5 linked regions of the Macaca mulatta genome follow. The protein of the gene in region 4 binds, or shares a complex with, the protein of the main gene of each other region. Links are inferred from orthologs where the notes say so. Each region holds a gene or a part of one and is shown on either strand. Other genes may lie near its edges.

What was found.
Region 1: TAF3 (region 4) and TAF11 share a complex: the UniProt entries of both Homo sapiens proteins name them as parts of the TFIID basal transcription factor complex. The link is inferred for Macaca mulatta from reciprocal best matches to the Homo sapiens genes TAF3 and TAF11.
Region 2: TAF3 (region 4) and TAF9 share a complex: the UniProt entries of both Homo sapiens proteins name them as parts of the TFIID basal transcription factor complex. The link is inferred for Macaca mulatta from reciprocal best matches to the Homo sapiens genes TAF3 and TAF9.
Region 3: TAF3 (region 4) and TBP share a complex: the UniProt entries of both Homo sapiens proteins name them as parts of the TFIID basal transcription factor complex. The link is inferred for Macaca mulatta from reciprocal best matches to the Homo sapiens genes TAF3 and TBP.
Region 5: TAF3 (region 4) and TAF5 share a complex: the UniProt entries of both Homo sapiens proteins name them as parts of the TFIID basal transcription factor complex. The link is inferred for Macaca mulatta from reciprocal best matches to the Homo sapiens genes TAF3 and TAF5.

Annotation. Positions count from the first base shown.
Region 1 is NC_133409.1:147,387,172-147,393,725, reverse strand, and holds the start of TAF11 (transcription initiation factor TFIID subunit 11), read right to left. Parts: upstream 4,280-6,554; 5' UTR 4,246-4,279; coding exon 4,075-4,245; intron 1-4,074. Other genes in the region: ANKS1A (ankyrin repeat and SAM domain-containing protein 1A), read left to right, coding at 5,697-5,884. UniProt on the Homo sapiens protein: The TFIID basal transcription factor complex plays a major role in the initiation of RNA polymerase II (Pol II)-dependent transcription.
Region 2 is NC_133411.1:77,438,607-77,444,876, forward strand, and holds TAF9 (transcription initiation factor TFIID subunit 9), read right to left. Parts: upstream 3,709-6,270; 5' UTR 3,708-3,708; coding exon of another isoform or gene 3,615-3,707; intron 2,567-3,614; 5' UTR 2,550-2,566; coding exon 1,755-2,549; 3' UTR 1,596-1,754; downstream 1-1,595. Other genes in the region: AK6 (adenylate kinase isoenzyme 6), read right to left, coding at 3,615-3,707. UniProt on the Homo sapiens protein: The TFIID basal transcription factor complex plays a major role in the initiation of RNA polymerase II (Pol II)-dependent transcription.
Region 3 is NC_133409.1:1,494,713-1,498,692, reverse strand, and holds the start of TBP (TATA-box-binding protein), read left to right. Parts: upstream 1-1,180; 5' UTR 1,181-1,275; intron 1,276-3,517; 5' UTR 3,518-3,540; intron 3,541-3,671; exon of another isoform or gene 3,672-3,674; 5' UTR 3,675-3,822; coding exon 3,823-3,876; intron 3,877-3,980. Other genes in the region: PSMB1 (proteasome subunit beta type-1), read right to left, coding at 1-83. UniProt on the Homo sapiens protein: The TFIID basal transcription factor complex plays a major role in the initiation of RNA polymerase II (Pol II)-dependent transcription.
Region 4 is NC_133414.1:9,320,864-9,326,804, forward strand, and holds part of TAF3 (transcription initiation factor TFIID subunit 3), read left to right. Parts: intron 1-3,873; coding exon 3,874-4,116; intron 4,117-5,941. UniProt on the Homo sapiens protein: The TFIID basal transcription factor complex plays a major role in the initiation of RNA polymerase II (Pol II)-dependent transcription.
Region 5 is NC_133414.1:115,513,351-115,520,070, forward strand, and holds the start of TAF5 (transcription initiation factor TFIID subunit 5), read left to right. Parts: upstream 1-2,438; 5' UTR 2,439-2,474; coding exon 2,475-3,033; intron 3,034-6,720. UniProt on the Homo sapiens protein: The TFIID basal transcription factor complex plays a major role in the initiation of RNA polymerase II (Pol II)-dependent transcription.

The sequences.
Region 1 (6,554 bases), on a different chromosome or scaffold from region 4:
GCAAATGTTTATTTCACATTACTAGTCTTTTTGAAGATAGATTTGTCTCTTATTATTTATATCTCTCCCCCATCAGCATTTAACACAATTTTACTTATGCTGGATGTTTAATAAATGCCTGTTTAAACCCCATTAAAAGGTAGGCAAAGACACTTCTCAAAAGAAGACATACCTGTGGTCAAAAATCATATGAAAAAAAGCTCAGCATCTCTGATTAGAGAAATGCAAATCAAAACCATAATGAGATACCATCTCATATCTGTCAGAATGGCTATTATTCAAAAATCAAAAAATAACAGATACTGGCAAGGTTGTGGAGGCAAAGGAAAGCTTTTAAACTCTTGGTTGGAGTATAAATCAGTTCACCATTGAGGAAGGCAGTGTGACAATTCCTCAAAGACCTAAAGACAGAATTACCATTTGACCCAGCAGTCCCATTACTGGGTATACACCCACAGGAATATAAATTGTTCTATTATAAAGACACATCCACACGTATGTTCATTGCAGTGCTATTGACAATAGCAAAGACATGGAATCAACCTAAATGCCCATCAATGATAGACTGGATAATGAAAATGTATTTTCCAGTATACACCATGAAATACTACACAGCCATAAAAAAGGAGATCATGTCCTTTGCAGGGACATGGATGGAGGTGGAGGCCATTATCTTTAGCAAACTAATGCGGGAACAGAAAACCAAATACTGCATGTTCTCACTAATAAGTGGGAACTAAATGATGAGAACACATGGACACATACAGGGGAACACACATTGGGGTCTATGGGAGGGTAAAGGGTGGCAGGAGGGAAAGGATCATGAAAAATAACTAATGGGTACTAGGCTTAATACCTGGGAGATGAAATAATCTATACAACAAACCCCTATGACATACATTTACTTATGTAACAAAACCTGCACATCCTGCACATGCACCCCCAAACTTAAAAAACTGCCTGTTTATAACAATAAAAATCAAATCCAAACTTCACCCCCTCTGACTTAATGTAGAATCGTAAGTATACTACAAAACTCATTGAGATTTAACTTGTTCCTAAAGAGGAATTCAAATTTAAACTCATACAGGAATATGGGAATAGATGGGATTAAGGTAGTCTATCTTTGACAATCCTTTCAATTTCTTTTTACTTACCGATTTATACAAGTTTTCTAACTTCTTTGCGCTTCAAGTTTGGTGGTTTGTATTTTCTTTAAAAATTCACCTGTTTTTCTCAGATTTTCCCATTTATTTGGCCTAAACTTGAACATTAAATGTTTTTATAGCTTTAAAGATCTCCATATTAGTGCCTATAGCCTTTCATATTTTGTAATGTACATTTACATTTTAAGTAATCAGGTTTTAATTTTATCATTTATGTTTTTTAATGTGCTAATTCATTAGTGTCTACTTGTATCCTTATTAACTCCTTGTTCCTACACTCTTCTGATTTATTTTGTTCTTTATCTGTTGTTTGTTTGTTTGTTTGTTTTTTCCCCAGACTCACTCTGTTGCCCAGGCTGGATCATAGCTCACTGCAGCCTCAAGCGATCCTCCTGTGTCAGCCTGCCAGGTAGCTAGGTCTGTAGGTGTGACCCACTCCACTAGGCCCTTTATCTGGTCTCTTGAGTCAGGTGCTTATTTGCAGTATCTTCTGGTTGTTAATAAAAATATGTAAGGCTATACATTTTTCTTTAAATAAAGCTTTGGCCAAATCCCATATCATTTGATAAAGTGTTCTGTTAATTTCTTTAGTCTAAAGGCTATTTAAAAAGTAGTTTAAAATTTCCAGGGGGTTCTTTTTTGGTGGGGGAGAAGCTTTTTGTAGTTAATTTCAAGTTTAATGCATTGCATTAACAAGATGTGGCCTGTTATGATATCTTTTAAGAATTCATATTTTTCTTCATGGTCTAGTACATGATTGATTTTTAAAAGTGTTTCAGAAACAACATAATTTTATCCTCTGTTCGGTGCAAATTTATATATGTAGTGAGCTCTCTAGTGTACCAAGCTAATTATTCAAATCCTTGCTGTCCTTGACACCTGTTTTAAAGTTTCCTTCTTGGCCAGGCATGGTGGCTCCCACCTGTAATCTTAGCACTTTGGGAGGCTGAGGCGGAAGGATTACTTCAGCCCAGTGAGTTGGAGACCAGACTGGGCAATATAATGAGACCTTGTCTCTACCAAAACAATATTTAAAAAACCTTTAGCTGGCCAGGTGCGGTGGCTCATGCCTATAATCCCAGAACTTTGGGAGGCTGAGGCAGATGGATCATGAGGTCAGGAGTTCAAGACCAGCCTGGGCAACTTGGTGAAACCTTGGCTCTACTAAAAATACAAAAATTAGCTGGGCACAGTGGCACGTGCCTGTAATCCCAGTTACTGGGGAGGCTGAGGCAGGAGAATCACTTGAGCCTGGGAGGCGGAGGTTGCAGTAGGCCGAGATTGCGCCATTGCACTCCAGCCTGGGCAACAGAACGAGACTCCGTCTCAAAAACGAAACAAAACAAAACAAAACAATACAAAAACTTCAGCTGAGCGTGGTGCAGTATGCTTGCAATCCCAGTTACTGCGGACGCTGAGATAAGAGGGTTGCTTGAGCCCAGGAGGCAGAGACTGTGCCACTGCACTCCAGGCTGGGTGACAGAGTGAGACCTTGTCTCAACAAACCAACAAAAACTGCCTTAAAGGAGCTTGCAGTGAGCCGAGATCGCGCCACTGCACATTCCAGCCTGGGTGACAGAGCGAGTACTCAGTCTCAAAAACAAAAACAAAAACAAAAAAAGAAACCTGCCTTAAAATACTTTTGTCAAATGTTCTCTTTTTCTTTTTTTCGAGACGGAGTTTCACTCTGGCACCCAAGCTGGTGTGCAGTGGTGCGATCTCGGCTCACTGCAACCTCTGCCTCCCAGGTTCAAGCGATTCTTGTGCCTCAGCCTCCTAAGTAGCCGGGATTACAGGCGCCTGCCACCATGCCCAGCTAATTTTTGTATTTTTAGTAGAGACAGGGTTTCCCCATATTGGGGATCTCCTGACCTCAGGCGATCCACCCACCTCCGCCTCCCAAAGATTACAGGCGTGAGCCACTGCACCCGGCCAAATTTTCTCTTTTTCTAAAAGTTCTTACTTTATACATTTTTATGCAACTTTATACACTGAAAGGCTATTTCCATCTAATCTACTGTTCACCCCACGATCTCTTAAATCCCTTCTAGCTCTAAGACCCCAAGATTCTACTTCCAGAAATGTAATCCAGAGAACGATGAGTTTCTGGTCCTGACCAATGTTCAGCTAGGCAACACTGCTGAACTCTCTGTAGCATAAAAACACCAGACCCAACTGATGGGTCCCTGATCACCGGGTGCTGTGGCTCACGCCTGTAATCCCAGCACTTTGGGAGGCCGAGGCGGACGGATCACGAGGTCAGGGGTTCGAGACCAGCCTGGCCAACATGGTAAAACCCCGTCTCTAATAAAAATACAAAAAATAGCCGGGCATGGTGGTGTGAGCCTGTAATCCCAGCTACTTGGGAGGCTGAAGCAAGAGAATCGCGTGAACCCGGGAGGCGGAGGTTGCAGTGAGCCAGAGATCGCGCCATTGTACTACAGCCCGGGCGACACTTTTATAAAAGTCTATCTCCCTTTGACAGGTTTGATCGACCCTCCTTCCTATAAAGAAACAAAGTTGTCTTAACATCTAAGACGAACCATATTGCGGTGAAAGGGGTGCTACGAATCCTGGGTTTTAGCTCTTGCACTGCGTCTCAGTGTGACACTGGATCCCAGTTTCCTCACCACTAAAGCCAATAGGCTATTAAAACTCCCTTAGAAGTAGCTTTAATCCCTTGACAAGACTAAAAATATTAACGCAGTGCTTGAGCCTCTGGAACGGAACCAGCACTGGAGTTCTGTTTGGTCGTCCGCTCTCTTCCCCCTCAAGATTAACGATCTGGAGGGAGTTCTGGTGAGTTCGAGTTCTCGTAACTTGGGAGGGACTAACCAGAAGCCCGGCAAGCACCCAGTAACACGATCTCTGGGTATTCCTTCAGCCTCATCGATACATCTCTTCCTACCTCGCCTTCCTCCGCTGCAGCTTCTTTCAAGTCCGCATCTGCGTCTCCGTCAGTTTCCTCTGGGATTCCATCCGTGTCGGTAGCCCCCGGGTCCCCGGACGCAGCGGCCGTCTCATCCGACTCCCCTGTCTCTCCACCTTTGTCGGAGGGCGACTCGCGGGCATCGTCCATCACGGATAGGATTGGAGGGGAGAGGAGATCGCGGCGATGTCTGAGGCAGAAGCTCGGAACCCCGAGCTGCACAGGACAGTATCTTACTTCCTGTCGTCGCGCAGCGATGACATCACCCCTACCGCTCTCCTGAGGGGTCATTTTGAGGCGCGCGTAGAGGACTAGAGGACTCATTTTAACTTTGGTTTGGCGACAGTGGGAAGCGGGAAAATTGGACGTAAAGAGCTCAGACTATGGATCCTCCTAGCTAGGAAACCAGCACTTGTGAAGGAGCGCAGTTTTGTTTACTAAATAACTTTTTCCTTTTCGCCTGTCTAAAAATTCAATACCAGTTAATCCCTTCGTTAACCCCTCAGAGTAAAGTTGGGGGATCGGGAGAAAACTCAGTTCCGTTGTATGGCGGTGTCGTGGAATGAGGCTACCCGGGATTGGTAAACTTTCAGGCAAGACTCAACCTTGTGTATTTCAACTGGCCCGAAACCGCGGGTCTGTGTGTACGTGGAATTGCTAGCATTTCCGCTCCATTCAGCAAGCACCTTAACAACAAAAAGTCATCTAGCTTGAGCAGAATTTATCCAATTCATTTATTCATCCACAACTATTGACTGCGTACTTCGATTTAGAAACAGTGCTAGTACCAGGGAACAAAACACACATAGTTTCTATCCAATTAAATGATTTTTTTTCAGTTCGCAAGTATTCAAGATTGAGGTTTGTTTCTACAAGTCTGACACTTTTCTATCATTTTGGTTAATCTTACCAAAACTAAGAGGAAAGCCTAAAGAGAGGAAGGTGTCTCCTTCGAACGTTTCACTTTAACGAACTAGTTCATGTACTGGGAGGATGAAGTGGTGAGGATATTTCTATTTTAAAATTTTCTTCTCTTCCCTCATAGAGATACGAGGGGGAGGGCGTTTTATTCACCTGGGTATGACTAGGTCCCAGCACCTATTACATATTTAATTTATGCGTGCTTAAAGAATGTCCTTGGAAATGTAGGTGCGCGTTACCATATTTATCTCTTTGTTTCTGCGCTGCCTGGACGAATTGCCGTATTTCCTGTCCCAGGAGCTCCCAAAACGTTTAGGGAAGGAGCGCACTTCGGGAGGCGCGTACAGGTGGGCCTGTTTGTCCCTTTCCACCTATATAATGGGGACCCACAAGGCGCTGTCCCCATAACCCGTGAGGCCTGTCTCGGCACAGCAAAATCCACCTGCGCTGGTCCGCGGAGCCCCGCCCAGCTAGGTGAGCTAGGGGGCGGGGCGCGGGGGCGCGGTGACGCGTGACGCCGGATCCCGGAAGTGACGCGCTTGTGGAGAAAAGGCAGGGAGGGGGGGTGGTGTCCCCAGCCGGTTTGGGGGGTGCGTTGCCCGGAGACGGAAAGTTTGGGAGCCCGAGCAGGCTCGGCTGCAGCCCCGGGGAGGGGGGTCCAGCGGGTGGCGGCCCTGGGGATGGGGAAGGAGCAGGAGCTGCTGGAGGCGGCCCGCACCGGGCACCTCCCGGCGGTGGAGAAGCTGCTGTCCGGGAAGCGGCTCTCCTCTGGCTTTGGGGGCGGCGGCGGCGGCGGCGGCGGCGGCTCTGGGGGCGGCGGCGGCGGCGGCCTCGGCTCTTCCAGCCACCCCCTCTCCAGTCTGCTCAGGTGGGTACGCGCCGGGGCCGGGCCGCTGCCTGCAGACCCCTTCTCCCCCACCCGTCTCTTGGGTCTCCAGAGAGATCGGGGGTCCTGAGACTCGGGCGGGGTGGGCTTGTGGCGTGCCCGGGGCGAGGCAGGCGGCGCACGGGCCAGGATACCGGAGGGCGCGCGGGTCCGAGTCCACGCTGCTCCGGGCTCGCCTGGTCTCCCGTTCTGAGCCGGCTGCGAAGAATGGTGGGAGTGCCCAGGTGGCAGCCTCCGCCGCATGGCACAGCCGGGCTTCACCCTCGCTCGCTACAGGGTGCCAGCTGTCGTAGCCCACAAAAGCCAATTTGGAGCAAATATGTATATCATATATATACATATGCTCTCCCTCACCTCCTGCAGAAACTCCCACGCCTTGTAGAATCTCGAGGCTCCTCTGGAGGAAATTCTATTGATTTTTTTCTCTTAGGAACTTGGAACCTTCCACCAGGCTACGCAGGACCTCGCTTTTCCCGCCCCCCCCCCCGCCCCGCCCGAGACGGAGACTTGTTCTATCACCCAGGCTGGAGTGCAGTGGCGCGATCTCGGCTCACTGCAACCTCCACCTCCCGGGTTCAAGCGATTCTCCTGCGGCTGCCTCTCGAGTAGCTGGGATTACAGGCGCCCGCCACGACACCCGGCTAGTTTTTGT
Region 2 (6,270 bases), on a different chromosome or scaffold from region 4:
CGATCAGGCCACCACACTCCAGCCTGGGCAACAGAGCAAGACTCTGTCTTAACCAAATGAAATGGTGTGAGTACTGGTAGGAGAGGACCTAAAGAAGAGGAAGACAAGTGCCTTATACTGGATTTTCCTTGGTCTAGTGTAACCATTGCTCTCAATGCTATTAATGCTCTAATTAGCTTAGAAGTGTTAAATTAAGTGAAAGTAACATTAGAATGCATGAATGAAATTGACTATTATGTGACTCAGAAATCACTTGTCAAAATGGTGGTGTTCAACAATGAGGAACAAAACCAGATTTCATAGATATAAAACGTAAAGGCTGGGCTGGGCACAGTGGCTCATACCTGTAATCCCAGCACTTTGGGAGGCCAAGGCGGGTGGATCACGAGGTCAGGAGATTGAGACCATCCTGACTAACGCAGTGAAATCCCATCTCTACTAAAAATACAACTTAGCTGGGCGTGGTAGTAGGCACCTGTAGTCCCAGCTACTAGGGAGGCTGAGGCGGGAGAATGGCATGAACCCAGGAGGTGGAGCTTGCAGTGAGCTGAGATTGCACCACTGCACTCCAGCCTGGGCAACAGAGTGAGACTCTGTCTCAAAAAAAAGAAAGAAAGGAAGGCCAGGTGCGGTAGCTCACACCTGTAATCCTAGTACTTTGGGAGGCCGAGGTGGGCAGATCACTTGAGGCCTGGAGTTCAAGACCAGCCTGGACAACATGGCAAACGCCCATCTCTACTAAAAATATAAAAATGAGCCAGGTGTGGTGGTGCAAACCTGTAATTCCAGCTACTGGAATTACTGGGAAGCTGAGGTGTGAAGATCGCTGGAACCTGGGACACGGAGGTTGCAGTGAGCTGAGATTGTGCCACTGCACTCCAGCCTGGGCAACAGAATGAGATTCTGTTTCAGGAAATAAAATGAAATGGAAAATGAGTATTTGTATGATAGCAAATAAAGATCTAGGTTTCAGAAACTATAACCTTGATAAATTGATGTTCTTTTGGACAAAAAAATTTTAAAAATTAAAAAAATATAAACTATAACCTAATCATCAGCCCTGGATCAAAAATGAACATGATACTGGCTTATAGTATCAGGAATATGAAAAACAAAGATGCTCAAAATTAACCTGCAAAAAGAGACACTGATAAATTTTTTTTAAAAAAGTGGAGACATACTGGGAGACACTAAGGGTCCTTAATATAACCAAAGGGACAGAAAAATGGGACCTAGGAAGTTGGACAATTGAGGAAGATAATCAAAGCAGGTTAAGAATTCACTATGAATAAAAATCCTGACCAACTAGTCTCTCCAAAGAGGAGTCATGGTTATACTTCAGCAACTGAGAGAACAGATCACAAGAGTGACATACACCAGAGATCATACTGTGATCTATATATCTGAAGACACTTGAGGTGACATTCTAGTGGTCAACAATAGACTACAGTACTGCAAGTTGCTGCAACTGTCAACTGTTACTCCCCTTGGTGACAACAGGGAGAAAATTGCTTTTAAAAACATAACTGCCAAAGCACCAACAATCAAAGTAATGAATGACAACTTTATTTTTCTTACACTTTTAAGGCTGATGAAAAACCTTCATTTCAATTGAAAAGTATGGTAACTGTATTTACTCATTAATTATTATTAAAGTTTTCTAAAACACAACTTGAAAACATCCAGCATGCATGTTTAATATCAGTACAATGAATTCAAGACCAAGTATACATGTTACATGCAGCAAAGCTAGATTACAAATTATCATAGTCATCATCATCATCATCGTCATCATCATCATCTTCACGTTTTCTTTTCAATGCATTTGATGATTCATTGGCAGCATTTTGTGATGACACCATATTAGTGGTAATAAGAATGTTTTTGGACCCAATTAATGATGGATTAATCAGAACATTCTGAACTGCTGAGGTTGCAGGAATTGAAGCTTTTACAGCTGGAGACTGCGAAGTAGGCATCTGTACTGTAAACCTTTGACCTGTGAGGGACATGGGAGTCCCTACTTTAGTTGAAACAGACATGGTCTGTGGGGTTGGTGTGCCTAGTGTGGGAGTACTTGGTCTGCTAGTAACTGAACCAACACTTAACCGCGGGACTGTTATTCTTCCCGCAGAAGTTGATGCCTTTTTCTGTAAAGATTTCAGCCTATAGTTTGGAGCTGTTAAGCAGTATCTATCAGGTGGCAACCTAGGACCTGAATATGGCTTGATCAGTGGCAAAGGGGTTTGATTTCTTTGCCTTGCGATATCTAATAAAAAATCTCTTGGGGGAGGAGAGGTAAAAGACTGGTCAGCGCGGCACTGGATTGCCAATCGCACATCATCTGCATCAACGGTAGCTTTCTTAGCATGGCTTGAATAAATTTTTGCATCATCTAGAATTGTGGTCACATATCGGAAGGCAAACTCCAACATCTGATTTATAACTCTTGGCTCATATTCTGTAATCCCCATATCCTTCAGGATTTGTGCCATCATCTGTGCATCTTTCGGCATGCTCTTGGGAGAAGCCATCTTGCCAGACTCCATGATATCCGATGATCAGACTTTAGATCATTTGAAAAAAATATGTACATTAGATCAATCTGAAATAGTTACTTTAGTAGCAACTGTCAGGAACTTAAAAAATTTTTTAATCTATGTTAAACTGTAAAAAAATTTTTTAAATTTAAACCATATGTTTTCTTAATTTTAATGAGGCATACTTAAAATCCCTTTAATTTATTGAGTTCCTACCATGTACAAATCATTGTCAACTATAAAAAGATGAAGACACAAATAAGGGAGTGATAAAAGATTAGGGGAAAACAGGGTAAAATAAATAAAAACATCTATCATCTTAGAATATATGCAGTTGCATGCAAACCTCACACTAAGATACCATAGCATAGTCATGTCCTACACCTGAGCTCAAAACAATCTCTTTCCAGTGAGACCAATACACTCACTGTGCTCATATATATGTTCAGCAGTACCAAACCTTTGTTTGCTCAACTTGAAAACACTCTCCTTATTCACATTCTACCTCTCCGAAATCCAGTCTCTTCATAGGAGCCTTCCCAACTATTCACAAGAATTGCTAGCCATTTTCAAGGAGGAAGGGAAAATGCTCAAAATAACCAGGACATAGCATTAGACACTTAATATTTCTGTGGATTCCCTAAAAGACTATATATATATATATATATTTTTTTTTTTTTTTTTTTGAGACGGAGTCTCGCTCTGTCACCCAGGCTGGAGTGCAGTGGCGCCATCTCGGCTCACTGCAAGCTCCGCCTCCCGGGTTTACGCCATTCTCCTGCCTCAGCCTCCCGAGTAGCTGGGACTACAGGCGCCCGCCACCTCGCCCGGCTAATTTTTTTGTATTTTTAGTAGAGACGGGGTTTCATTGTGTTAGCCAGGATGGTCTCGATCTCCTGACCTCGTGATCCGCCCGTCTCAGCCTCCCAAAGTGCTGGGATTACAGGCAAGAGTATATATTCTTTAATGGCAATCTGTTTTTTGTACCTTCTGACAATACCCAGCACTAACACTCCACTATCAGACTTAAAACAAAACAAAACAAAACAAATCTAACACCAAAGTGTCCCTTACCTTCTCGAGCTAAATCACCAACATTAATGTATTTCAGTCCCGATTTTGACGCAAGTTCTTTGCCTAGTGTAGTTTTTCCAACCCCTGGTGTACCTGTAAGACAAGCCACAGAAAAATACTGTTTGTGAAATACTACTTATCACACTGCAGCCCACCTTGTGCCCTTCCTTTTTTTATTTCTGAGGCAGAGTCTCACCTGGCCTCTGCCCTTAAAGATCTTGACGACTGAAATGAAAAATTTCTAATTAGCAATAACATGTAAAAAAAATTTTTTTTTTGAGACGGAATTTCGCTCTTGTCACCCAGGCTGGAGTGCAGTGGCGCGATCTTGGCTCACTGCAATCTCCACCTCCCAGGATCAAGCGAGTCTCCTGCCTCAGTCTCCTGAGTAGCTGGAATTACAGGTGCCTACCACCATGCCCAGCTAATTTTTGTATTTTTAGTAGAGACAGGGTTTCACCATATTGGCCAGGCTGGTCTCAAACTCCTAATCTCATGTCATCTGCCCGCCTAGGCCTCCTAAAGTGCTGGGATTACAGGCGTGAGCCACCATGCCTGGCCATATGTAAATCAGCATGTACTACGATCTAATAAAAATTTTCCAAAGCTAATTGAATGTCAGAATATTACTCAGTGTATTGATTCTCCAGGGGTGGGGCTCAGCAAATTCTGACGCCAATTCAAACTGCCTGCTGCTACCATGGAACTACTCAGAATAAAATTAGCCACCTCGTGCTGGGCGCAGTGGCTCATGCCTGTAATCACTGCACTTTGGGAGGCCGAGGCGGGAAGATCATGAGGTCAGGAGATCGAGACCATCCTGGCCGACATAGTGAAACTCCATCTCTATGAAAATACAAAAATTAGCCAGGCGTGGTGGCACATGCCAGTAATCCCGGCTACTCAGGAGGCTGAGGCAGAAGAATCCCTTGAACCGGGTGGTTGGAGGATGCAGTGAGCCAAGGACGCGCCACAGCACTCCAGCGTGGTGACAGAGACTCCGTCTCCAAAAAAAAAAAAAAAAAATTAGCCACCTCGAATCAATTACAATAATTTATTTACCTTTTTCTTCTTTTTATTTATTTTTTATTTTTTTTTTGAGACGGAGTCTGGCTCTGTCGCCCAGGCTGGAGTGCGGTGGCCGGATCTCAGCTCACTGCAAGCTCCGCCTCCCGGGTTTACGCCATTCTCCTGCCTCAGCCTCCCGAGTAGCTGGGACTACAGGCGCCGCCACCTCGCCCGGCTAGTTTTTTGTATTTTTTAGTAGAGACGGGGTTTCACCGTGTTAGCCAGGATGGCCTCGATCTCCTGACCTCGTGATCCGCCCGCCTTGGCCTCCCAAAGTGCTGGGATTACAGGCTTGAGCCACCGCCCGGCAACCTTTTTCTTCTTTTAAAGTCAAGATATCTCTTTGTTACCCAGGCCGGAGTGCAGTGGAACTTGGCTCACTGGAGCCTCCACCTCCTGGGCTCAAATCCTATCTCAGCCTGTCCAGTAGCTAGGACCACAGGTATGCACCAACATGCCCTGGTTAATTTTTGTAGAGACGGGATTTGGCTATATTGCCTAAGCTAAGCTCAAACCCCTGAGTTCAAGCCATCCCCCCACCTCCACTTCCCAAAGTGCTGGGATTTACGGGCATGAGCTTTAATTTACAGGCTCGTTTGCTTGGCCTATTTGCTTTAATTTAAAAAGATTTAAAAACTGTTCATGGCCAGGTGTGGTGGCTCACGCGTGTAATCCCAACAATTTGGGAGGACAAAGTGGGAGGATCACTTAAGCTCAGGAGTTCGACACCAGCCTGGCCAACATAAGACTGTCTCAAACAAAAACAAAAACAAAAACTGTTCATGTTAAAATTTAAGCAGTCTGAAAGACACCGTATTACCTCTACTGACCCCTTGCACCCTTCCCTAGAGATAACCACTGTAAACCAGTTTCCTATACAGGTATATATTCCCCAAAAAACCCTATTTATGTTTGCATATAAATGTACATGTATGTATGTACATACTCTTTGTAATACAATATATATTCCCTTGTACATAAATGACAATACTATATACATTGTTCTTTGCCTTCCTCTTATGATACCTATTATAATTACATTTCAAGATCATCAAATTCATCATTTTCAGCTATTCAGGTTTAACATCCCTGAAATTAAACTTGAGCATAAAGATAACAGGGATAATCCAGTTCCCTTATCTAGGAGAATAACAGCCACCCCAAGTCCACTATAATACACCAAGTCTGAAGTCTGGACTCAACATGTTTTCAATAAAATGCTCACTTTTATTGTCAAAACATTTTCAATAAAATGTTTTGACAATGACTTAATAACCAGGGCACTATGTTTGATCCATACAAAAAGATGTAAAATCTTCTGCTTAAGGAATCTAAAATGCTAAACATTATTTGTGGGGTGGTTAATCTGCATCTCTCAGAAACAGACATGTCTTGTGCGCTGCCAACAATCTTACGTTTGGGTGAATGATGTAACTGTACTGTTTCCACAGAGTCTTAATTTTTCTGTACGCTACAATAAAATCTACATGCATTAGATTTTTCCACGAATGGCCTACAATTTAATAAACACTTTCAGGACTGAACGGCTAGCAAAAATATTCGTTGAAGTCGTTTTGCAGCATTTTAG
Region 3 (3,980 bases), on a different chromosome or scaffold from region 4:
AGCTGCAAAGGGCCCGCGGCTCCGTGCGGCTCCATCCCCAAGTCTCTGCCAGGAGCCGAATACATGGCTACGGAGGACAACATCGCACGGCTGCGCCTGCAGCTCCAGCTCCGACACCTGCTGTCTCACGGCGAGATGGCTGCCTTGACCGGACGTTACGCCACTTCCGGCTTCTCCTGAAGTTCGCTCCCGGCCTCTCTATCTTGCGCTAGTCGTTGCTCCTGGAGGGCTGCAGGGCGGCCTGTCCCTTTGGTAGTTGGGTCCCGCCCATTCCAAAAAAGCTGACAGAAAAGTAAAGGTTTCCCGCCCCCCGTCGAAGAAAACATTGGAATTCACCCCAATGGACGAAAATTTAAGTCTGACCATACAAAAACATTGGCAGAACTATGGCGCAACGCCAACTCGAATAACGGTGAGCGCGTTAATTGTCCTGGCTAATAAAAAATGTATATAACATTTCCTATCCTTAAAGAGCTCACAACCTCACTGATAATAAAGAGTACAAAGAAAACGAGCAGTATAACATGTGACTACGCCACAATGAACTACAGAAGGGAAAATCAGTTCCCACTAAGTTCTAGTCCCACTAAGAAACAACTGCGGATAGAGCCTTGTGACCACAGTGCATGAAACGGGAGTGGCAGAACTGAATATAAATGCGTGTGTAAACACAAGCCGTTTGTTTTGCTTAGTGTTCCTTGTCATTCTACACCCTTGAAGATCAGCTAGCGTTCTTGCACAGGTAAGGAGCACGCGCTTACTGAGTGCCAAGTACTGTCAGTCTCTGTCAATCTCCCGACAGCCCAACGGTAAGCACTATTATCACTATTCAATTTTACAGAAGAAACTGCGGGGGAGAGGTCAGGTAACTTGCCAAAGGTAACACCGCTAGTTGCTTTAAACCACCACCACAACAACAAAACACACACACATATAACCATTTAAAAATCGATCTGTCCTATGTCCAGCAAGGGCCAATTAGAGACGGCTGTGGCACGGCGGCCCCGCCCCGGAACTCCTCAAGAGCTTCGCCCCTCCTTACCTTAAGCTCCGCGCCTATGGAAACACAGGAAGTGACCTATGCCCACACTTCCCAGGGCCTCGGCCCTAGTGGGAGCAACTCGCTGAAGCCGAGGGCAGAGCTGGCGGAAGTGACATTATCAACGCGCGCCAGGAGTTCAGTGAGGTCAGGCAGGTTCGCTGTGGCGGGCGCCTGGGCCGCCGGCTGTGAAACTTCGTTTCCTCTGGCCCATGGTCATCTTTGCAGTGACCCAGGTAACAGCTTGTACTCTTTTCTGAGGGTTCGGGCGGAGGCGACCACTGCATTGAGGCCTGGGGACAATGGTGGGGAAGAGAAGAGGAATTGGCGCGCGTGCAGGCCCCGCGGGGGACGTTCCTCCCTCTCGTGCTGCCGCCGTTCCGGCCTGTAACGGCCGCTCGGCCGCCGCTCCCGCCTGGTGCCCTACTCTGCTGTGTGTCGCCAGCGGCTTCCCATCGTACGATTGTGGGGCGCAGGGTACTACTGACGGGGCGGCGGCGGGCGGGACAGGACAGTCCCTTGCATCGAAGACCTGAAGTTTACCCTGCCCTGTCCTGCCACCGCTTCTTCTCCATGTTAGAAGGCAGATTCACCCTGGTCTGTGCCCGCCTGTTTTGCTACCAACATTGAGACTTAAGTATTTTGTCAGAATCCTGAGACAGCGGGCACGGTAGCGCTTAAGATATAATACACACCATTTATTTACGGGGCCTCCCATCTCTCGGTCAGGCCATCATGGTTTTCCAAATCTCTAGGTAGGCTTTTCTGTGAAAAGACTGTGCTTCATTTAGTTATACAGACACTAGAAGGCTATGCAGAATTAATTTGATTGCCTCCAAAAAATACCGGATTTGATGTTTCAATTTCCAAGAGCTGAAGATACCCAGCAAACAACTCTTTTCTGAGATAAATTAGTGCAGTAATCACCGTACGGTTTCTTCTGTAGACTTACTTGCAAAAAGTGGCCTGAAGCCACCGCAGGTCCTGGATAAATAAATCTCTAGTCCTACTTACAATGGGTTTAAATCCTGCCGTCATTATCTCTTGCCTCACCCTTAGATCCCTGAAGCGGAACTTCCAGCCTCTAGTTTTACTCCTCTCAAATTCGTCTAGTCTTGCCAAATTAGATCTATTCATACTGCACTTCCAAAATTCCATAACTGTTATTATTGCCTATGCAGTAACATTTAAAACTCCTGATAGTATGAGCCCACCAATATGTGCTATTTCATCTGCAGTGACCTTCTATACAGTCATACTAAGCTTGTCGCCTGCATTCTGCATCTTTTTTCAATCTGTTATCTCTTTCTGCTTGATTTCTCTTTTGTCTGAAGCCCTGTTTTGTAAATTCCTACTCACCTTGTGAGACCCAAGTTAGATGGTCCCTGCTTTGTGAAAACACTGCCCTCTCTTCATAGTAATTGGCTGTTAGTCTTTATTGTCTTCTCTTCCAGGGGTGTATATGGGCTCATTCATGATCACATACTGCATTCCAGGCATAGTGCTAGATGCAGAGATCACAAAGACATGTAGACTTTCAAGACTTAGCTTAGGCCATACCTGCTACTATAATACTATGTTTTACAGTAATTATTTGCATACCCTTCATATTGAACACTTTGATGCCAGGGACTACATCTTCCTATCTTTATATCCTCATCTGCAGCACTTTTGTTATTATAGGATAACTGTCAAAAAAAAAAAAAAAGCATAATTTAAAAAATGTCTTTGATACATTTATTTCCAGAAGCACAGCTTGCTTTCTTTTTTGGTCTGTTTTTCAGTGATGAGTATATAGCATAGATAGTTTTTGGGGGCCTTTGCCCTTTCAAAGTGATCGTCAGAGTCTTTCATATATTCAGCAAATATGTGAGTGTCTACTTTGTACCAGCACATGCTTGAAGTGCATATGCCTGAAGGGTCTTTGGACATATAATTTGTAACTTTGAGACCTCTAAGTTCCATGTGAGAATATGTTATTATAAACTCATTTCAGATGTATAGTGAGTAAAGTGATGACGATTTAAGAATAGTCAGATAAAACGCACAGTTTGCACTATTGTGTTCTAAAGAGGTAAGGTTATTACGTTTATAAAAATTCAGAGCTTTATCTTTGTGCAGCTTTTTTTTTATAGTTTCATTACAGTAGGAGCTTGATAAATGATCACTCTGAAGTATATTGGATTGAATTTAATAGTTACTTAATTTTTTGCCCAAGACATTGTAGAGGATGTAAAATTGGGATATTTAAAGATCTGAACTTTGCCTAACAGTGCTGTGTATACAGTGCTTAATAAATATCCTACTCTGATATTACAGTTTCTTTTGGAATTAGTTTTCTGTAGGTGTTTTTCCTCAAAAGTTTTTAATGCTGGTTATGACAGCTTAATTTTGAGCATTATCTGAGTATTTAAACGTGTAACAAAATGATTTTTGTTTTGTTGGCGATTTTACATGCAATCACCGGAAACCTGGAAGGAATAAGACTTTGGGATTATAAGGTAAAAACAAATGTACTCCAGAATAGCTTCATTGGTTTTCATGTTTGTGTTTTGTATAGCCATGGAACTGGCTTATAGGACTGTATAGGTTACCTGGATCCTTAAATTAAACTTCAGACTTTTTTCCAAAGCAGCATCACTGTTTCTTGGTGTCTGAAGATAACCCAAGGAATTGAGGAAGTTGCTGAGAAGAGTGTGCCTGAGATGCTCTAGGAAAAAACTGAATGGTGAGACGAGTTCCAGCCCAAGGGTTTCTGGTTTGCCAAGAAGAAAGTGAACATCATGGATCAGAACAACAGCCTGCCACCTTACGCTCAGGGCTTGGCCTCCCCTCAGGTAATACAGCAGGAGGGAGAGAATAGGGAGGGCGGAAATCTGAACGGCAAGAGATGGTATCAAAAGGCAAGGAAGGGCATTTAATGATCTGTTTTTGAAAATGA
Region 4 (5,941 bases):
GTCTCACTCTGTTGCCCAGTGTGGAGTGCAGTGGTGCGATCTTAGCTCTCTATAGCCTCGAACTTAAGGGCTCAAGTGATCCTCCTGCCTCAGCCTTCCAAGTAGCTGGGACTACAGGGATACGCCACCATGCCTAGCTAATTTTTTTATTTTTTTGTAGAGATGTGGTCTGGTTATATTGCTCAGGCTGCTGTCAAACTCCTGGGCTCAGGTGATCCTCCTGCCTCAGTGTTTCAAAGTGCTGGGATTACAGGCATGAGCCACCATGCCCAGCTCACTGATACATCTGGATGTGGAACCACAAAGTAATATGCATGTGTTTTTATCTTGAAAGTGCATCACCAGTTGACTACTCTTCTGGCTTTTGTTTCTTTTTCCTCTGGCTTGCTCTGCAGTGGTTCTTGAGTATACTGTTACTGATAGGATAGGCTAGGCTAGGCTAGGCATAGTCCAGATTATGTTTGCTACCATGTATCTTTAGCTATTCAAAATGTCTCCTGAATACTAGTTACCTTTCCTGCCTTTTATACAAAACAGAAGGGAGCTGGCACTCCATGTGACTAGGTATTCCAAAGTCACCCAGGGGTCATTGCAGCTCTTCAGTGTAAACCTTCTTCCTAATTACCTAATTTCCATAGCCAGTTTCTTGGTTTCAGTGAGAATGAGATTGTCAGGTTCATTATGTCCCATTGTGATTTGATGACTTTTTTTTTAACACTAATTTTGGTATACTTATTAGATATTTTTAGATTCTTTTTTCTATACCAGTCTTATTCTAAAATCGAATTCTGTAACTCCAAGTTACCACTACAGAATCTTGTATTCCACTCCTTTAAATCCTTTCTGTTGTTTTAACAAACACTTATTGAGCACCACTTATGAACCAATCCCTGTACTAGACATTGGAGACATAAAATTACTAAGATACAATCCCTGCCCATAAGGTGTGTTCAAGAGTGCCAGAATGTCAGCAAAAACAAACTGATGGTGTTTGTTTCTTCTAAAATAAATGTTCTCAAGTTAAAGCAAGTATTAGAAGTTACCATTAATTCAAATAATGAACAAATAATGAACTTCAGAATTGCCTTAGGCTGACAATTTCTCCAAGCATTCAAGGGCAGATGTCTCTGTCTGTGTCACATTATATATTAAATGTGTTGGCATGCGCTGAAAGCAGGTGCTAAATCTTTCAGACTGACTCTTCAACACTAGTACTGTAATATTTTTTGTATGGTACAGGGAGTAAATGTAAAAGGAGTAAGAGGAGAGATGGTTGTAGGCTATGGATTCTGGGGTAGGATAACTTCACAGAAAAGATAAGATTTGAGTTGAGCTATGAAGTATGGTTGTATAAAGGTATAGAGTATTCCGGGTTAGAGAATCACATAAACTAAGCTGTCCAGGTGAGATTAAGCATAATAAAAGTACCAGTAAGGTGTTCAGCTCCCTATGCAGCTAGTTCATTCCAAGGGTGTCTGAGGAAAATGTTCAACACAGTGAAATCAGGTTATGGAGGGACTTAAAAGCTAGACAAAAGAATTAAAACATGTAGTAGAAAACATTGCATACTTCTAAGTAGGGGGACAATATGATTAAAGTGGTATTTTAAGAAAATTGTACTGACAGTGATGTGCACAAGACATTGAAGTGGGCAGAACTTGAGACTATACTGAGACAGGGAAGAATAGAGAGAATAGAGAGAATAGGAAGAATAGAGAGTAAGAATAGAGAGAAAGGAAAAAAATCTGAAATCATGGTTTAAAAAAAAAAAAAAAAAGGTGCCCGGGGATGGGGAGGGGGACAGGGTTAGAAACAGTTCCAGGTTTTGGTTTGAGGCTGCAAAGCATATGGAGGAATTTAAGATGATTATATTTTTTAGACTGAGAGAGTAATAATAGCTTTAATAGGAATAGAAGAGTTGAAATGCCTGTTTACGTTCAGTAAGAAGAGTATTCGTTTTATTTGTTTTCTCTTTTTTATACATCATTAGAAGTATACATTAGAAGTAACCCATGCTTATAGAAAAAAAAAAATCAAAGACTGCAGAAGTATGTAGAGTTAAAAGTCAGTCTCCTGCTTCCACCACAGCCCTCCCCTCTACTGCAGCTTCCATCCCCTTCAACTGTTAACCATTGGCTGAATATCCTTCTAGACGTTTCTGTATGCATTACCACACATGCGTCCAATTCTAGCAAGATTTGGATTCTTGTTCATTTTACAGGGTGATTTAATTTCAGACATACTGAGTTTGAAGTGATCAAATTTCAAGATTTCAGTTAAAAAGTCAGGATTTCAGTTAAATCCTTTAGGCTATTGAAAATCGGAAACTGGAATTTTCATAGACATTTTTAAAGATGTAGAGACCTTAAGCTCTGCTAAGGATAGGCATAAGAAAAACTTGCTTTTGTAAAGAAAAAAACTCACTATATCTAACTTTTTATCTTTTTATCTCTGTTTTATGTTGTGTTTTCTAATTACATTTGAAATTTTATAGGTAAATTACCTTTATGACTGGGCATGGTGGTGGTGCACTGGTAGTCCCAGCTACTCGGAAGGCTAAGGTGGGAGGACGGCTTGAGCCTGGGAAGTTAAGGTTGTAGTGAGCCATGATTGCCCTACTGCACTCCAGCCTGGGCAGCAGAGTGAGACCCTGTCTCAAAAAACAAACAAAAACCAAACTTTTATGATCTGAGCCTTCTTTGTAAATATTCTTAGATTTTAAAAATTCATTTAATGGTATAATTCATTCAGTAGGTATTTATTGAGTGCCAGCTATTGTTATTGAGTTCCAGCCACTGTTTAAAATTCCGCAGATGCATCAGGGAACAACAGAGGAAATGTAACAAACATTGATTTTGTCAGCACAGCACACTACTTATTTGATGATTTAAAAAAAAAAGGCCAGGCACATTGGCTCATTCCTGTTATCCCACCACTTTGCGAGGCAGAAGCAGGAGGATTGCTTGAGGCCAGGAGTTCAAAACCAGCCTGAGCAACATAGCAAGAACTCATCTCTACAAAAAAAAAAAATAAATAATAATAATAATAACTAGCAAGGCATGGTGGCATGTGCTTATAGTCCCAGCTACTCGGGAGACTGAGAGGGGAAGATTGCTTGAGCCTAGGAGTTTGAGGCAGCAAGGAGCTGTGATCATACTACGGCACTCCAGCCTGGGCAACAAGCAAGATGCCATCTCCTTTTTTTTTTTTCCCCCCCTGAAACGGAATCTTGCTCTGTTGCCCAGGCTAGAGTGTAGTGGCGTGATCTCGGCTCACTGCAACCTCCGCCTACCAGGTTCGAGCAGTTCTCCTGCCTCAGCCCCCTGAGTAGCTGGGATTACAGGCGTGCGCCACCATGCCCGGCTAATTTTTTTATTTTTAGTAGAGACAGTTTCACCATGTTGGCCAGGCTGGTCTCGAACTCCTGACCTTGTGATCTGCCCGCCTCAGCCTCTCAGTGCTGGGATTACAGGTGTGAGCCACCGCGCCCAGCCAAGATGCCATCTAAAAAAAAAAAGACAAAACACTATTATTATTATTTCTGGGGCATTTTCTGTGTGTCAGGCACTGTTGCAGATGCTTTTGATCATCTGTAAACTACTTTGAAATTTGTTCTATAATATATAAGCTGATCATGAGTGTGATTTTTCTGTGGTGTTCTGGCTAGTTGTCTGATCATATTTAAGCTTGACCTTAATAATCAGCTTAAACATGATTCTGTGATGTTCTATTTAAAATATTAAATTCTTTCCAATAACTAGGTTAAAATGTTTGATTCTGAGCTGCATATTTACTTACTACCTTTTTTAATATTTAAAAATATATTCACGGGATTTCTTCAAATAATTTGATTTGCTTTTGGCTTTGTTTCAGATGGCCGAACAGACCCAGTTTTGGATGATGTTGGTGAAGCTTTCCAGCTGATGGGGGTTAGTCTACATGAACTAGAAGACTATATTCACAACATTGAACCTGTCACCTTCCCACACCAAATTCCGTCATTTCCCGTTAGCAAGAACAATGTACTTCAGTTTCCTCAACCTGGAAGTAAAGATGCAGAGGAAAGAAAAGAATACATTCCTGATTACCTGCCACCCATTGTGTCTTCTCAAGAAGGTTTGTGAGTGTTTCTTCTTCATTTGTTAGGGACTATTTTAATGGATTTTTGATCCTCTTAGCTTTCCATGCTATGCCAACTTTATACATTCTGGAAACACAATAGAAACATGTACTGTTATTTACAAATTATTCGAACCCTTAAACCAACAAACTTGCAACTGACATTACCAGGCCAAGCCATGGTGTAATCAAGGTTATGTCTGAAGCATTTATCTCCTTTGTAAAGTTTGAGTAGAGGAAAACGGTGAAGCCAAAGAGAAGCCTTTCAACAGCCCTATTATATGAGAATGGGGTATTAAGTAAACTAGAAAACCTTTAAAACAAAAAGAAAAATTGGGGTAGCTCTTTCCTCCTCGCTTACTATTCAGGCCATGAGTTGAATGCCATAGCTTTATACTGGAAACAGTGAGTGAATCGTGAGTATTCACTGATATTGTATAGACTTACTTCTGTTTTTTATGATGAGTAGAAATGTTTATTGTTTGATCATAATAGAACTTTTGATTATAAAATGATAGCTAATCAGATACAGTGGTCAGTCCCATTGCAGAGTTCCCTTTTTTCCTGTATAATTTTAGATGTTGATCACTAAGTTCACTAAGATTCTGAAAAGAGATTTAAGTAATTTGTGGTCTCTAATACAACTGCGCAGTATTTTTTCTTAAAAGACTTGGAAAAGTTGCAATTAAGTTCTTTCATTTTGTAACAAATTCTAAAACCTGTATACTTCAGGACAATGCAAATGATGCCAGCAATTACTTTTACTTACGATTTTCTATTGTAAAATATACATCACATAAATGGACCGTTGTCACCATTTGTAGGTGTACAGTTCTGTGGCATTAAGTATACATTGTTATTCAACCATCATCCCCCTCCTTCTCCAGAATTTTTTACCCTCCCAAATTGAAACACTGTTCCCATTAAAGGTATCTCCCCATTCTCCACCACTTCCAGCCCCTGCCAACCATTCCTTTTTTTTTTTTTGTCTCTATGAGTTTGTCTATTCTAGGTACCTTTTATAAGTGGAATTGTACAGTATTTGTCTTTTTATGGCTGTCTTATTTCACTTAGTATGATGTCTTCAGGGTTCATTCATGTTGTAGCCTGTGTCAGGATTTCGTTGTGTGTGTGTGTTTTTAAGGCAGAATAATACATTATATATACGTTCCACATTTGTTTATCCATTCACTCACTGATGGACATTTGGGTTGTTTCAACCTTTTGGCTCTAGTGATTAATGCTGCTGTGAACATTGGTGTGCAAATATCTGTTCCAGTTCTTGCTTTCAAGTTTTTTGGGGGTCTGTACCCCGAAGTAGAATTGCTGGATCATATAGTAATTGTCTACTTAATTTTTGAGGAAGCACCACACTGTTTTCCACAGTGGCTGCACCATCCTCACCTTCCTATCAGTGGTGCTCAAGGGTTCCAGTTTCTTGCAATTCATTTCTTATAATCGGTTCTACTTTAATAGCTTTTTGAAGCGTTACCTATTTGTCTCAGGAACTATGTTTAAATTTGGCATAAGTTGTTTTACTGTCTGTGTGTCAGGGTTGCCTCATCTGAAAAACTGGACGGATACTGGACCTAACTGGTAGGGACTTGTGCATTGGTGTCTCATCATTTCGGCACTCTGGATCTTAGCTGCAGTGGGTTCTACTGAATGATACTAACACACTGACTGCCCAGAACCAAAGCTAGGACTTTGATCATAATCTACACTTAACTGCTTGGTCGTTTTTGTCTTATAGCATGCAAATACTCCAGAATAAAATTCTCTTAAAGTGTTATGGTTATCATATTTAAATACCAGCAAGGAA
Region 5 (6,720 bases), about 110 Mb from region 4:
AAGCAACTTGCTCCAGGTTATTCAGCCAGTAAGCAAGGTCAAGCCAGGTGGTCTGTGCCTGTAGTCTCAGCTACTTGGGAGGCTGAGGTGGGAGACTGCTTGAGTCCAGGAGTTCAAGGCCAGCCTAGGCAATATAATAAGGCTCCAGATCTCTAATAAATAAAATACAATATTTTTAAAAAGTAAGCAGGGTCAAAGGACACTGGTAAGACCTCAAAACCAATAACTTGAACGGCTGTGCTAGATTTTCCCAATGCCTCAGGCTCACTTTTCTCATCTGTACCTATTTCACAGAGTTACAAGGTTCCAATGAGATAAAATATGCAGGAGGGTTTTATAACCTATGAAGCACATTGCAAAATGGCATATATGATTTTGTTTTTTTATTCCTGAGATGGAGTTTTGTTCTTCTTGTCCAGGCTGAAGTGCAATGGTGCGATCTCGGCTCACTGCAACCTCCACCTCCTGGGTTCAGGTGATTCTTCTACTTCAGCCTCCCGAATAGCTGGGATTACATGCGCGCGCCACCACACCTGGCTAAGTTTTTATATTTTTAGTAGAGACGGCGTTTCATCATGTTAGCTAGGCTGGTCTGGAACTCCTGACCTCGGGTGATCCACCCACCTCGGCCTCCCAAAGTGCTGGGACTACAGGTATGTGCCACTGCGTCCGGCCATGAGTTTTTTTTTTTTTTTTTTTTTTTTTTTTTGAGACGGAGTCTTGCTGTGTCACCCAGGCTGGAGTGCAGTGGCGCGATCTCGGCTCACTGCAAGCTCCGCCTCCCGGGTTTACGCCATTCTCCTGCCTCAGCCTCCGAGTAGCTGGGACTACAGGCGCCCGCCACCACGCCCGGCTAGTTTTTTGTATTTTTAGTAGAGACGGGGTTTCACCATGTTAGCCAGGATGGTCTCGATCTCCTGACTTCGTGATCCACCCGCCTCGGCCTCCCAAAGTACTGGGATTACAGGCTTGAGCCACCGCGCCCGGCCGAGTTTTAAATATACAATTAAAATGGTTTATTTGTAATAACGGATAATAGCATGAATACATAACGTACATATTTCACAACCACAAAATTCTGTGATTTTTTTTTTTTTTTGAGATGGAGTCTCCTTCTGTCGCCCAGGCTGGAGCGCAGTGGCTAGATCTCGGCTCACTGCAACCTCCATCTCCGGGGTTCAGGCGATTCTTCTGCCTCAGCCTCTGGAGTACCTGGGATTACAGGGGCGCACCACCACGCCCAGCTAATTTTTTGTATTTTTAGTAGAGGCGGGGTTTCGCCATGTTGGTTGGTGAGGCTGGTCTCTAATTCTTGACCTCGTGATCCGCCCTCCTCGGCCTCCCAAAGTGCTGGGGTTACAGGTGGGAGCCACCGCGCCTGTAAAACTTTTTATTGCATTTAAAAACTTTTTATTGCAATGTAATGTGTATGGGCCAGGTGCAGTGGCTCACGCCTGTAATCCCAGCACTCTGGGACGCCGAGGGGCGGATCACCTGAGATTAGGAGTTTGAGACCAGCCTGGCCAACATGACGAAACCCCGTCTCTACTGAAAATACAACAATTAGCCGGGCGTGGTGGCACATGCTTGTAATCCCAGCTACTCGGGAGGCTCAGGTAGGAGAATCGCTTGAACCCGGGAGGCGGAGGTTGCAGTGAGCTGAGATCGGGCCACTGTACTCCAGCCTGGGCGACAGAGCGAGACTCCGTCTCAAAAAATAAATAAGTAAATAAAAAAATGTAATGTAATGTAATGTATATGGTTAAAAGTTCATAAAGCATGCACCTTGATTAACTTTTACAAAAGTAAAAATTGCAAAAAAAAAAAAAAAAAAAAAAAAAGCACTATCCGGGTCAAAACGTAAAACATTACCAGTATCTTGGAAGCCTTCCTCTGGCAAATGGTATATACTTTTGAGTTAAATACGTGGATTCGAATGTTGACATTTGGACTTTCTTCTTGCGTGACTCTGGTAAGTTATTTAACCTTTCTTGGTTTCGGCAGAGCCATCTGTGGGGTGGGGATAATATTACCTCATAAGACTATTTAATTGTAGCCGGGCGTGGTGGCGCATGCCTGTAATCCTAGCTACTGGGGAGGCTGAGGCAGGAGAATCGCTTGAACAGCCTGGGCGACAAGAATGAAATTCCGTCTCAAAAAAAAAGAGAAAAAGATTATTGAATTGAAGGAGATCACATAATGTAAAACGTCTATCATAATGCCTAAATATAGCTGCTCTGCAATAAATGGCAATTATTATCAGAGAAATGTAATAGGTGTTCCCTATGCCCACTTCCTGCCTTTCTTTCGCCCGTTTTTGAAAGTTGCTCTCTTTCCTATTCCGTTTCTCCTTCCTTTTCGCCCCTCCTACTGCCGTAAATGGCCTACTAGAGTTGTCGTGAAATGCTCCTCCCCGCCCTCCATGTGGCGAAAATGCAATCACGCTTGACGGCGCAAGGTGGCTCAGCCGCAAGATGGCGGCGCTGGCGGAGGAGCAGACGGAGGTGGCGGTCAAGCTAGAGCCTGAGGGACCGCCAACGCTGCTACCTCCGCAGGCGGGGGACGGCGCAGGCGAGGGTAGCGGCGGCACTACCAACAACGGCCCTAACGGCGGCGGCGGGAACGTTGCGGCATCGTCGTCCACTGGCGGGGATGGCGGGACCCCCAAGCTCACGGTGGCTGTCTCCACCGCTGCCCCGGCGGGGGCGGCCCCGGTGCCTGCGGCTGCTCCGGAGGCCGGCGCTCCGCACGACCGACAGACTCTACTGGCCGTGCTGCAGTTCCTACGGCAGAGCAACCTCCGCGAGGCCGAAGAGGCGCTGCGCCGTGAGGCCCGGCTGCTGGAGGAGGCAGTGGCGGGCTCCGGAGCCCCGGGAGAGGTGGACAGCGTCGGCGCTGAGGTGGCCAGCGCGCTTCTCAGCCGGGTGACCGCCTCGGCCCCTGGCCCTGCGGCCCCCGACCCTCCGGGCACTGGCGCTTCGGGGGTCACGGCCGTCTCAGGTTCAGCCTCAGGTCCTGCGGCTCCGGGTAAAGGTAAGCCGTGGGGTTCCGGGGAGGCACGGCCGCCGCGAAGGGGAGCAAGCCGGTAAGGCAGGGGCTGGCAGGCCTGCACCTCTGCGGGCTTGTTTTGAATTTCCTGGGCCCGCCTCTAGGGCCACATGCCCGCCCCTTTCTCTAGTGCGCCGGCTGCGCAGTCAAACCCCCTTCCGAGCTGTCAGTTTCAGCGAGAGGCTGAGGAGAGCTGTTGAGCAGAGGGATGTATGGGAAGGTGAGCGCGGAGAGGCGGGGACCTTCACGCTTTTGGTCCCTTTCCTCTCATTTGGGCTTTTGAGCCTTGGGCAGGTCCGCCTGAGACTAACAGTGTTTGTACAGTTTCGTACTAGCGTACTTTAAGTTTTATAAGTACTTTATTTTCTCTTTATTTCTTTACTTCCTTTTAAAAGATGTGTTAATAAATACTTTATGGACTTTTTTTTTTTTTTTTTTTTTTTTTTTTTTTTGAGACGGAGCCTTGCTCTGTTGCCCAGGCTGGAGTGCAGTGGTGCGACCTCGGCTCACTGCAACCTCCGCCTCCTGGGTTCAGGCGATTCTCCTGCCTCAGCCTCGTAAGTAGCTGGGACTACAGGCTTCTACTACCACGGCCAGCTAATTTTTGTATTTTTAGTACAGCCAGGCTTTCACCATGTTGGTCTGGCTGGTCTCGAACTCCCGACCTCATATGATCCACCAGCCTCGGCCTCCCAAAGTGCTGGGATTACAGGCGTGAGCCACCGTGCCCAGCCACCATACAATATACCCTTGTAACAATCCTGCACGTCATGTACCCCCTGAATCTCAGCTAAAAGTTTTTTTTTTTTCTTTTCTTTTTTTTTTTTTCTGTGACGGAGTCTTGCTCTGTCGCTCAGGCTGGACTACAGTGGTGTAATCTCGGCTCACTGCAACCTCTGCCTCCTGGATTTAAGCGATTCTCCTGCCTCAGCCTCGCGAGTAGCTGGGACTACTGGCGCACGACACCACGCCCCGCTTAATTTTTTAAAAAGTATTTTTTGTAGAGACGGGGTTTCGCCATATTGGTCCGACTGGTCTTGAATTTCTGATCTCATGATCCACCCGCCTCGGCCTCTCAAAGTGCTGGGATTACAGGCATGAGCCACCGCACCCGACTGAAATTTTAAAGATATATATGGGCTGAGTACCACCAGTGTTAAGTCTTTGGAGGATGCAGGTTCCTGGGCATCACTTCAGACTTAGTGAATCAGATCCTCTAGAGGTGGAATCTGGGAATCTTCACTTTTGAATAAGAGCTTCTAAGGAGTGTTGACATAGGGCAGCTTGAGAACCATGTGTTTAGGCATGGGCATTGGACAGACCTTTTCGTCTTTGCTGCATTTACATGTGTGATGCTGATTGTCATTCTTTTCTTACCTTTTAATTTTTTTTTACCTTCCTATTGGCCGGGCGTGGTGGCTCATGCCTGTAATCTCAGCACTTTGGGAGGATGAAGCGGGTGGATCACCTGAGGTCAGGAGTTTGAGACCAGCCTGGCCAACATGGTGAAACCCCCTTTCTACTAAAAATACAAAAATTAGCCAGATGTGATGGCGCATGCCTGTAATCCCAGCTACTTGGGAGGCTGAGGCAGGAGAATTGCTTGAACCCGGGAGGCCGAGGTTGCAGTGAGCCAAGATTGCGCCACTGCACTTCAGCCTGGGTGATAGAGCAAGACTCTGTCTTAAAAAAAAAAAAATTTTTTTTTTACATTAATATTGTCAAGAGACAAGTCATTCTCATGTTGAATTTTCTCCCTTTATTACATGAGTGGTTATGAGGGTTTTTTTTTTTTTTTTTTTTTTTTTTGAGACGGAGTCTCGCTCTGTCGCCCAGGCTGGAGTGCAGTGGCCGGATCTCAGCTCACTGCAAGCTCCGCCTCCCGGGTCTACGCCATTCTCCTGCCACAGCCTCCCCAGTAGCTGGCACTACAGGCGCCCGCCACCTCGCCCGGCTAGTTTTTTCTATTTTTTAGTAGAGACAGGGTTTCACCGTGTTAGCCAGGATGATCTCGATCTCCTGACCTTGTGATCCGCCCGTCTCGGCCACCCAAAGTGCTGGGATTACAGGCTTGAGCCACCGCACCCGGCCGAGGGTTTTTTTTTTTTAGACAGAGTCTCGCTCTGTCGGCCAGGCTGGAGTGCAGTGGCACAATCTTGGCTCACTGCAACCTCTGCCTCCCAGGTTCAAGCGATTCTCCTGCCTCAGCCTCCCAAGTAGCTGGGACCACAGGCGCATGTCACCACACCTGGCTATTTTTTTTTTGTCTTTTTGGTAGAGACGGGGTTTCACTATGTTAGCCTGGATGGTCTTGATCTCCTGACCTCGTGATCCACCTGCCTTGGCCTCCCAAAGTGTTGGGATTACAGGCGTGAGCCAGCGCGCCCGGCCACGTGAGGCACTTGTAATATGTATATGTAAAATGTTTGGTATGGATAAGTTTATGCCTCTGTATGTGTTCCTGACACCTGAGCCACTGCTTTCTCACAGCAACTGTTGCCACAAATCCATGCAGTAAAACTCATATACAATATAAGGTCTCAGAGGTGATCCTGAGCTGACAATAAATGTTTATTGAATTATCCAGTGCAGAGCTTTTAGCCAAATTAATCTGTATGAGGCCTAATCTTTGCAGCATTGCCAGAAATGAAGTATGAATACATAGCATTGTATTCATATCTCATTTTAATCCATAAATAGAAATGTGTGCAGATGTGGATTGAAGGCCGGGCACGGTGGCTCACGCCTGTAGTCCCAGCACTTTGGGAGGCCAAGGCAGGTGGATCACTTGAGGTCAGGAGTTCAAGACCAGCCTGGCCAACATGGTGAAACCCCGTCTCTACTAAAAATACAAAAAAATTAGCTGGGCGTGGTGGCATGTGCCGTTGTCCCAGCTGCTCGGGAGGCTGAGGCAGGCGAACCACTTTAACCCAGGAGGCAGAAGTTGCAGTGAGCCAAGATAGCGCCATTGCGCTCCGGCCTGGGCAACAGAGCAAAATTCCGTCTTTACAAAAAAAAAAAAAAAAAAGTGTTTGAGAGGAATCTTTTTTTAATGTTGAATTTTGTGAATGAACTATAAGATGAATTATATTGTTGGTTATTTTGCTGTAATCTCTTATCTCTTCAGAAACTTGACCTAATTATAGATCATAACTGAGAAATCAGTAAGGAGGAAAAGAGGCCATCAGAGTAACCGAAGAAATTATCACATTTGTGCAGTAAAGAGCGAAGTGTACTATAATGGCAACTTACAAATATTTCCAACAACCAAATTCTGATTTAATTGACAGATGTATTGTTAGGTGGTGCTGTGTTACAAATAAATAGTTATGTTTTCTGTTTTGAAATGCTGGTTATGGAAATTGTTTTAAGCATATAACTATCTTTTTTTTTTTTTTTTTTTTTTGAGACAGAGTCTCGCTCTGCCGCCCAGGCTGGAGTGCAGTGGCGTGATCTTGGCTCACTGCAAGCTCCGCCTCCCGGGTTCACGCCATTCTCCTGCCTCAGCCTCCCAAGTAGCTGGGACTACAGGCGCCCGCCACCTCGCCCGGCTAGTTTTTTTGTATTTTTTAGTAGAGACGGGGTTTCACTGTGTCAGCCAGGATGGTCTCGATCTCCTGACCTCGTGATCCGCCCGTCTCGGCCTCCCAAAGTGCTGGGATTACAGGCTTG